2 linked regions of the Callithrix jacchus genome follow. Each later gene encodes a partner of the first gene's protein in a complex. Links are inferred from orthologs where the notes say so. Each region holds a gene or a part of one and is shown in the gene's direction. Other genes may lie near its edges. The genes, in order: CAMLG and GET1.

What was found.
Region 2: CAMLG (region 1) and GET1 share a complex: the UniProt entries of both Homo sapiens proteins name them as parts of the golgi to ER traffic (GET) complex. The link is inferred for Callithrix jacchus from reciprocal best matches to the Homo sapiens genes CAMLG and GET1.

What each region holds. Positions count from the first base shown.
Region 1 is NC_133503.1:33,146,029-33,150,413, forward strand, and holds the start of CAMLG (guided entry of tail-anchored proteins factor CAMLG), read left to right. Parts: upstream 1-1,291; 5' UTR 1,292-1,410; coding exon 1,411-1,582; intron 1,583-4,385. UniProt on the Homo sapiens protein: Required for the post-translational delivery of tail-anchored (TA) proteins to the endoplasmic reticulum.
Region 2 is NC_133522.1:45,278,923-45,283,512, forward strand, and holds the start of GET1 (guided entry of tail-anchored proteins factor 1), read left to right. Parts: upstream 1-1,531; 5' UTR 1,532-1,610; coding exon 1,611-1,778; exon of another isoform or gene 1,779-2,096; coding exon 2,097-2,207; exon of another isoform or gene 2,208-2,307; intron 2,308-4,590. UniProt on the Homo sapiens protein: Required for the post-translational delivery of tail-anchored (TA) proteins to the endoplasmic reticulum (ER).

The sequences.
Region 1 (4,385 bases):
AGAAGACTATAACCGCACCACCATGCCTGGCTAATTTTTGTATATTTTTAGTAGAGACAGGATTTCACCATGTTGGTCAGGCTGGTCTCAAACTCCTGACCTTGTGATCTGCCTTCCTCGGCCTCCCAAAGTGCTGGGATTACAGGCGTGAGCCACCACACCCGGCCTTCTTCTGATTTCAAATTAAAATTAAAACATTTTTGTGAGCCTCCCCAGACTATGGGGGGCCCTGAAAGCTGTGCATACTGAATAATTCAGGCCTGTTTAGACACGAAGTGTAGCAGTGAAGAAAATGCAATGCTTATGTTCATGGAGCTTACGTTTTAGTCAGTGAGAATCGGATAAGTAAAATTAGCATCTTTAGCAAGCTAGGTGGTCATAAATGACAAGAAGAAAAAGTAAGGTGGAGAAGGGGAATGGGGAGTGTTGGCAATTTAGATAGAATGTAATCTATCTAAAAGGCTGGGAAAGTCTGATTTGAGCAAGCCTGAAAGGCTTGGGACGAAAGGCTGGAAAAGTCTGATTTGAACAAAAACGCGAGAACCGCCTAGGAACACATCAGCTGTATACTACGGTGTAGAGAAGTCAAGGATGAAGAACTGGCACCAAGATCAAAACCCAGCGCAAGGCTCCCTTTAAGCGTGGCTCCTGGGGTTACGTATTGCCATAGCCTACAAGCGAGTCTGCAGGTCCGTAAACAAGAGGCGGCCGCTGCAACCTCCATTTTACTTTCCGGCACCAAATCTAGGCTGGTCTAGTCTTTGTCATCCCTTTCCCACTCCTCCGGCAGGGTGTTGGTTTTCTTCTTTTCTTTTTCTCGAGATAGATTCTCGCACTGTCGCCCCAGGCTGGAGTGCAGTGATGTGATCTCGGCTCACTGCGACCTCTGCCTCCCAGATTCAAGCGATTCTCCTGTCTCAGCCTCTCGAGAAGCTGGGATTATAGGCGCGCACCACCACGCCTGGCCAATTTTTTTTTTTTTTATTTTAAGTAGAGACAGAGTTTCACCATGTTGGCCAGGCTGGTCTCGAACTCCCGACCTTGTAATCCGCCGCCTCGGCTTCCCTAAATGCTGGCATTACATGACTGAGCCACCGCGCCCAGCCCTGAGTCCCTGTTTTCTTCACCACCGAGTGAACAGCAGAGGGGGTTGTTGGGTGAGGGCCGGACGAGGCGGGGAGGGACCAGGGCGTGCCGCGCTGCCCTCACTCAAGATGGCGGCCATCGCCTCGGGCTCGGTAGCGCGAAGCGGCGCGTGCGTGCTTAGCTCTCAGGCTCGGGCACCGCGCTCGGGGGCGGGTCTATCTTGGGAGAGGGTACGCGCGCCCTGCGGCCCAGACTCTAGTCATCGGCCTCGCAGCTGCTGCCGACACCGCCGCCACTGTCACCCCTCCCAGACTGGACGGGAGGATGGAGTCGATAGCCGTCGCTACCGACGATGGGGACAGGCCAGGGGTCCCAGCGGGCTCAGGCCTGTCGGCTTCCCAGCGTCGGGCCGAGCTGCGTCGGAGAAAGCTGCTCATGAACTCGGAACAACGCATCAACCGGATCATGGGCTTTCACAGGCCCGGGAGCGGCGCCGGTGAGAGCCTCGGCTTCCCCTCAGTCTCCCGCCCATCCCCTTAAATCTTCAGGGTAATTCTTCCCTCCCCACCACCACTCCGCTGACCTTTTTGACCAAGCCCTGCTCTCTGACCTCCTGTCTGTCCCGCCCCTTCGGTGATTATCCCAAGTTCTCACTCCTGAACCCCAGGACGTTCCCGGTCGCTCCCCTCAGTTTTCCCGGGGCCTCGCCGTGAGATTTTCCCCACCCTGCCTGCAGAGCCCTGGCTCCCTCTGCCCAGTTACCTTCAACAACTCCTTTCTTCTTTAGCCACCCCTCGTCTTTCTTGAAGGGCGCACGTTTTATCCTCAGACTGCTGTGCCCGCTGCTCCCCTTAAGAAGGTGGCCTTCCTTCTTAAGGTTCCAAGTGCTTTTCCTCACGGTGCCTTCTCTAGCCTTTTGCTGTGTAATTCTTGTCTGCCTACATCAGCTTGTCTTTACTGAACTGCCCGCTAGTCCGTCCTACGTGTATCACGGACTCTTGTGGTCATATCCTAGTGTCTGTGTTCGGTGCCCTCAACACTATCACTTATGGGCCGGTTAGAAAAGGTGGGAAAAGTGAGAGTGAGCATTCTTCAGAGACCCAGCAAGTGCGACGTGCACACCTGAGGTTTCCTGTCCTCATCAGCTGAGATTGGTGTGATTGGTGTCCGGAACTGCATTTCTTTCTTGCTTGCTTGCTTTTTTGGGGGGATGGAGTCTTGCTCTGGCTCAATCTCGTCTTACTGCAACCTCTGCCTCCCAGGTTCAAGCGATTCTCCTGCCTCAGCCTCCTGAGCAGCTGGGACTACGGGCACACGTCACCACGCCCATCTAATTTTTTGTATACTTAGTAGCGACCGGGTTTCACCATATTGGCCAGTCTGGTCTCAAGCTCCTGACCTCATGATCCATCCACCTCAGCCACCCAAAGTGCTGGGATTATAGGCGATGAGCCACCGCTCCCGGCCCCAAACTACACATTTCTAAAGGAGAGCGCCTCATTCCTCCCCCAAACACATGTCCAATGATTTTCCTTAAAAAAATTTTATTTCGTGTGTGTTGCCCTAGTGTTATCTAAGTTTCCATTGTTTTCTTTAGGAATTGGCCATTAGTCACTGGTCGCAAGCTCCTTATATCTTTGTGACTTTTGTTCTGTACGGCTTTGGGTGTATAGCCCTGAACTTTTAGTTGATTTAAATGAGAGGTAAGAAAACCATTTCAAATTCTTCTAGAACAATAGAAGAAACATTTTTTTCTATCAGGCTATGTATTCTTTCTTGAAGCATTATTTATTATCTTACCTGAGAAGTACTTCCTATATTTTGTTCTTTTGCTTTGAAAATTTTGTGTCTTTAAAGGTTGTTTTGTTTTTTGAGACAGGGTTTCCCTCTGTAGTCCAGGCTGGAATGCAGTGGCATGATCATAGCTCACTCACTGCAGCCTCAAACCTGGGCTTAAGCAATCCTGCTCCTTCAGCCTCCAGAGTAGCTAGGACCACGGGTGAACGCCAGCATGCCTGGGTAATTAAAAAATATTTTTTTTTTTTTGTAGAGATGGGTCTCACTGTGTTGCCTAAGCTGGTCTTGAACTTCTGGGCTCAAGTGATTCCACCAGCCTTGACTTCCAAAAGCCAAGATTACAGGATTGCAGGAGTGAGCCATTGTGCCTGGACTTTTTTTGTCCCCCCTCTCTGAGACGGTCTCTCACTCTGTCACCCAGGCTGGACTGCAGTGGCATGATCTCAGCTCACTGCAACCTGCACCTCCTGGGTTCAAGCAATTCTGTCTCAGCCTCCTGAGTAGCTGGGCCTACAGACATAATCCTAGCTACTGATTTTTTTTTTTTTTTTTTTAAGATGGGATTTCACCATGATGGCCAGGCTGGTCTTGAACTCCTGACCTCAGGTGATCCACCCACCTTGGCCTCCCAAAGTGCTAGGATTACCGGCATGAGCCACCGCGCCTGGCAGATTTTTTTGTATTTTTTGTATTTTTTTTTTTTTGAGACGGAGTTTCGCTCTTGTTACCCAGGCTGGAGTGCAATGGCGCGATCTCGGCTCACAACCTCCGCCTCCTGGGTTCAGGCAATTCTCCTGCCTCAGCCTCCTGAGTAGCTGGGATTACAGGCACGCGCCACCATGACCAGCTAATTTTTTTGTATTTTTAGTAGAGACGGGATTTCACCATGTCGACCTGGATGGTCTCGATCTCTTGACCTCGTGATCTGCCCGCCTCGGCCTCCCAAAGTGCTGGGATTACAGGCTTGAGCCACCGCGCCCGGCCTTTTTTGTATTTTTAATAGAGACAGGTTTTTGCCATGTTGGCCAGGCTGGTCTTAAACTTCTGACCTGAGCTGCCCTCCTTGACCTCCCAAAGTGCTGGGATTACAGGTATGAGTCACTGTGCCCAGCCCCCCCTTAAAAAAAAAAAAGCAATACCAGAGCAGCATCTTAAAACTGCTGAAGTACCTACTAATGGCTGGCTGACTACAAAAACAGTAGCTGTGGGAATATGCCACACCCTATGGTCATAGGGCACTGGATTCAGAAATCTAATTTTAAAATATAGATTTTAAAGGCTTTACTAATTTTGTGTGTGTGTGTGTGTGTGTGTGTGTGTGCGTGTAATTTTTTTTTTGGAGTCGGAGTTTTGCTGTCGCCAGGCTGGAGTGCAGTGGTGCCATTGGAGCTCACTGCAGCCTCCGCCTCCTGGGTTCAAGGGATTCTCCTGCCTCAACCTCCCAAGTAGCTGGGACTACAGGCAGGTGCCACCATGCCTGGCTAATTTTTGTGTTTTTAGTG
Region 2 (4,590 bases), on another chromosome or scaffold:
GGCGGTTTCTTTCATGCTGTTCTCATGATAGTGTGAGTGAGTTCCCACGAGATCTGAGAGAGATCTTGTGAGATCTCTTGTGATGGTGATGTTAACTGCCCCGCCTCGCCCAAGACGTTTACCTCTCTTTGGCCTTCTGCCATCATTGCAAATTTTCTAAGGCTTCCCGGCCATGTGGAACTGTGAGTCAACTAAACCTCTTTCCATTACAAATTACTCAGTCTTGGGTAGTTCTTTTTTTTTTTGAGATGGAGTCTCCCTCTGTCGCCCAGGCTGGAGTGCAGTGGCGCGATCTCGGCTCACTGCAACCTCTGCCTCCCAAGTTCAAGCGATTTTTCTGCCTCAGCCTCCTGAGTAGCTGGGATTACAGGCACCTGCTGCCACGCCCAGCTACTGTTTGTGTTTTTAGTAGAGACAGAGTTTTGCCATGTTGGTCAAGTTGGTCTGGAACCGCTGACCTAAGGTGATCCACCAATCTTGGCTTCCCAAAGTGCTGGGATTACAGGCGTGAGCCACCAAGCCCGGTCACATAATTTTTTTCACTGATTCATAACAATGAGCCAGAGTTGTACTCCGTCGTCTAGGCTGGAGCACAGTGGTATGATCACAGCTCACTGCAACCTTGACTTCCCCGGGCTCAGGCGATCCTTTCATCTCAGCCTTCCTAGTAGCGGGGCCACAGTCACGTGCCACAGTACCTGGCAAATTTTTTATATTTTACTGTAGAGATGCAGTCTCACTATGTTATCCAGACTGGTTTCAAACTCCTGGGCCCGTAATCTACCTGCTTGGATCTCCCAAAGTGCTGGGATTACAGGCTTGAGCCAGCGCACCCCGTAATCTTGCATCAATTTGATTGGGAATTAGTCCTCAGAAACCAGTCATGGCAGAAAAGACAGTTAAACATCTCTTGCTTTATCCACCATGCATACATTTGAGTTGGGATTCTTTTGCTGCAAAACTTGATCTTCAGCTAGATTCAGGTTACTTTATTATTACTCATGATTGTCAACAGTGCATGCTAATCAACTTATTTTTCAGGTATGCAGTTATGTAAATTGGTTAGTTTACTACAGTGTTTAGTTCTAGAACGAAAACGGCATTTTCCATATAAATGCTTAGAACACGTATTTCATTTTCAGTTACCAGGTAACTATAATTACGGTAGTTTTCTATTTAAGGAAGAATTTATCTTAAACTTACCTAGAATCAAAAGTGAATTTAAAGGAAGTGCTAATTATGACAAAGGCAAGGAGCCGTTCGCACTTGAAACCAGAGTTTCCTACTATGGGAAAGTTTTTAATTTCAAAAAGAAGGAAAGAAAGAATCCCGGACTTCGAAAAACCGGTTCAGTAGGCGGGGCGGGGGGTAGCGGGTGCGAGATGGCTATGGAAGCCCTGAAGGCCCAGGAGGAGCCTGGAACGCGTTAACTGCTCCGGCGGCTGCGGAGGAAAACACGCCTCCCGCGAGGGCGATGGAATGCGCAGGCGCGTTGGCGCTCTGGTCGTGTGCCGGGGCGCCGGGCTTCCCTGCGCAGGCGTGGGCGCCGCCGCTGGCGTAGTCCCCATGGAGCTGCAGTAGCGGACCCTGCGCAGCCAGGAGCGTTCGGGATGAGCTCAGCTGCGGCGGACCACTGGGCGTGGTTGTTGGTGCTCAGTTTTGTGTTTGGGTGCAATGTTCTTAGGATCCTCCTCCCGTCCTTCTCATCCTTCGTAAGTGGTTGCCAGGCCTCCCAAGGGCCGGTGGAGACGCCGCCCGAGTCCTCCGACTGGTCTGGCGTAGGTACAGCGTTCTCGAATGGCAGACTGAAGGCCAGATTCAGCCCGTAGCAGCGTCTTGGTTGGTCTGTAAACTCTTTTGAGATAGTTGCTAGCGTCGAAAAGGGGTGAAACTTTACCCCCAATCTGTTTACTAATTCGTAATCTTCAGACTCTCTGGGTTCTAGGGGGTTGGCAGGAGAAACACCCGGTAACCCTGGGCCACGCTTTCACGTGGCAGGAATCTTCTGGCTGGGGGTGGCGGCGGCGAATCTCACACTGGGAGTGCCCAGTGCCCCGCTACCAGCCTCACTCGTTTCTTTTAATCCCGGTCCCTAGAGGCATTGGAGCAGCCCCCGGCTAGGATTTCCCAGAAGCCTGGCGGGCGATGTCAGCTGTTTCAGGTCCCGGAGAGATGGATCCTCGCGTCCAGAAGGCCACATTCTTGGGGTGCGTAGGGTGGGAGACAGGTGCAGAGAGAATCTCAGCACAGCGTGATGCTTTCAGTATCCAAGGGAGCAACCAGCTTGGGGAGCACCCTCTTTCTGTCAGGCGTTTTGCCCCGGCAGTGAATACATTTCCTCCGTGTCACGGCTGCTGGGAGAGGAGAGTATTATCATTGCATCCTCCTTTACCTCCCGGAGGAGTCTGGCTCAGAGAATTTAGTAGTTGCACTGAATCATCCACCTGGTGACTGGTGGTGGAGGTTAGATTGCCTGTTGGAGCAGGGAGAGGGATTTGGTGGCAAATTGGACGGGGCGTGGTGGGGTGTTGGCACATTGGGAACTGTCCCTGGGATTGAGCGCACTGTGTAGCCCACAGCAGGAATGAGGAGCCGTTGGGCAAAGACTGAGACCGCAAAGATTGGGTGCATTCGTTGTAGAATTGTCTTGGAACACAGTTCTTGCTTTTCTTTCCTAAGATAAATCGGTAGTAGTGGAGTATGTTTTATTCCACCAGTATTCACCGAGTGCTTGTTTTGTGCAAAACTATTCTTACTGTCCCTATTGTCTTACTGTCTGCACTGTTCCGAGATATAGGGAATTCTCTTTTACCCCCTGAGCCTCCTTCAGAATCTTTCCTCATGCTCTGCAGTCTTTTTTTTTTTTTTTTTGAGACGGAGTTTCGCTCTTGTTACCCAGGCTGGAGTGCAATGGCGGCATCTCAGCTCACTGCAACCTCTGCCTCCTGGGTTCAGGCAATTCTCCTGCCTCAGCCTCCTGAATAGCTGGGATTACAGGCACGCGCCACCGTGCCCAGCTAATTTTTTGTATTATTAGTAGAGACGGGGTTTCACCATGTTGACCAGGATGGTCTCGATCCGTTGACCTCGTGATCCACCCGCCTCGGCCTCCCAAAGTGCTGGGATTACAGGCGTGAGCCACCGTGCCCGGCTGCTTTTCATCTCTTCTGAAACTCTTGTACCCATTAAACAACCACTTTCCATTCCTGCCTCCTCCTGACAACCGCCATTGTACTTTCTGTCTATGAATTTCACTACTCTTGGGACCTCATATATGGGGAATCAGACAGTATTTTTCCTTTTGTGTTTGGCCTCTTTCAGTCAGCATAACAGCCTTAAGGTTCATCGGTGTTGTAGCATTGGTCATGATTCCCTTCCCCTTTAAGGCTCTAGTATCTCATTGTGTGTATAAGCCACATTTCGTTTATCCATTCATCCTTCTGTGGACACTCGGGTGTTTCTGCCTTTTAACTATTGTAGATGATGCTAAAATGTTTACACACATCTCTTTGAGTCTCTGCTTTCGGTTTTTCTGGACATACACCCAGAAGTGTAATTGCTGGATCTGTGGTGAGTCCATGTTTAATTTTTCTGAGAAACCATCATACTGTTTTCCATGCAGCCACACCATTCCACGTTCCCACCAGCAGTGCAGAAGGGCTCCAGTTGCTCCACATCCTTCAACATGTATTTTGTTTTCTTATTTATTTATTTATTTTTTAAAGTTTTTTATTTTTCTTTTGAGATGGAGTCTCATTCTGTCATCCAGGCTGGAGTGCAGTGGCTCAATCTTGGCTTATCACAACCTCTGCCTCTCGAGTTCAAGCAATTCTCCCATCTCAGCCTCCCAAGTAGCTGGGATTACTGGTGCATGCCACCACACCCAGCTAACTTTTTTTGTATTTTTAGTAGAGATGGGGTTTAGTAGAGATGAGAGCCATATTGGCTAGGCTAGTCTCGAACTCCTTGACCTCAGGTGATCCGCCCATCTCAGCCTCCTAGAGTGCTGTGATTTCGGGCATGAGCCGCCACACCCAGCCTTTTCGTTGTTGTTGTTAATATACTAGTCATCCTAATGCCTGGAAGGTGGTATCTCACTTTAGTTTTGATTTGCATTTCCCTAATAGTTAGTGATGTTGAGTATCTTTTCAGATGCTTATGGCCATCTGTTTATCTTTGGAGATCTGTCTAGTCACATCTTTTGCCCCTTTTTGAAATCCAGTTGTTTGTTATTTTGTTGTTGAGTTAGTTCCTTTTATTTATATATATATATATATATATATATAGAGAGAGAGAGAGAGAGAGAGAGAGAGAGAGACAGAAACAGAGACAGAGACAAGAGTTTTCTCTCTGTTGCCCAGGCTAGAGTGCAATGGTATGATTGTGGCTCACTGCAGTCCCTGCGTCCTGGGTTCAAGCGATTCTTCTGCCTGCATGTGCCACCACACCCAGCTAATTTTTGTGTTTTTTTTTTAGTAGAGAGGGGGTTTCACCATGCTGACCAGGCTAGTCTTGAACTCCTGACCTCAGGTGATCCACCGGCTTCGGGCTCCCAGAGTACTGGGATTATAGGCATGAGCCACTGTGCCT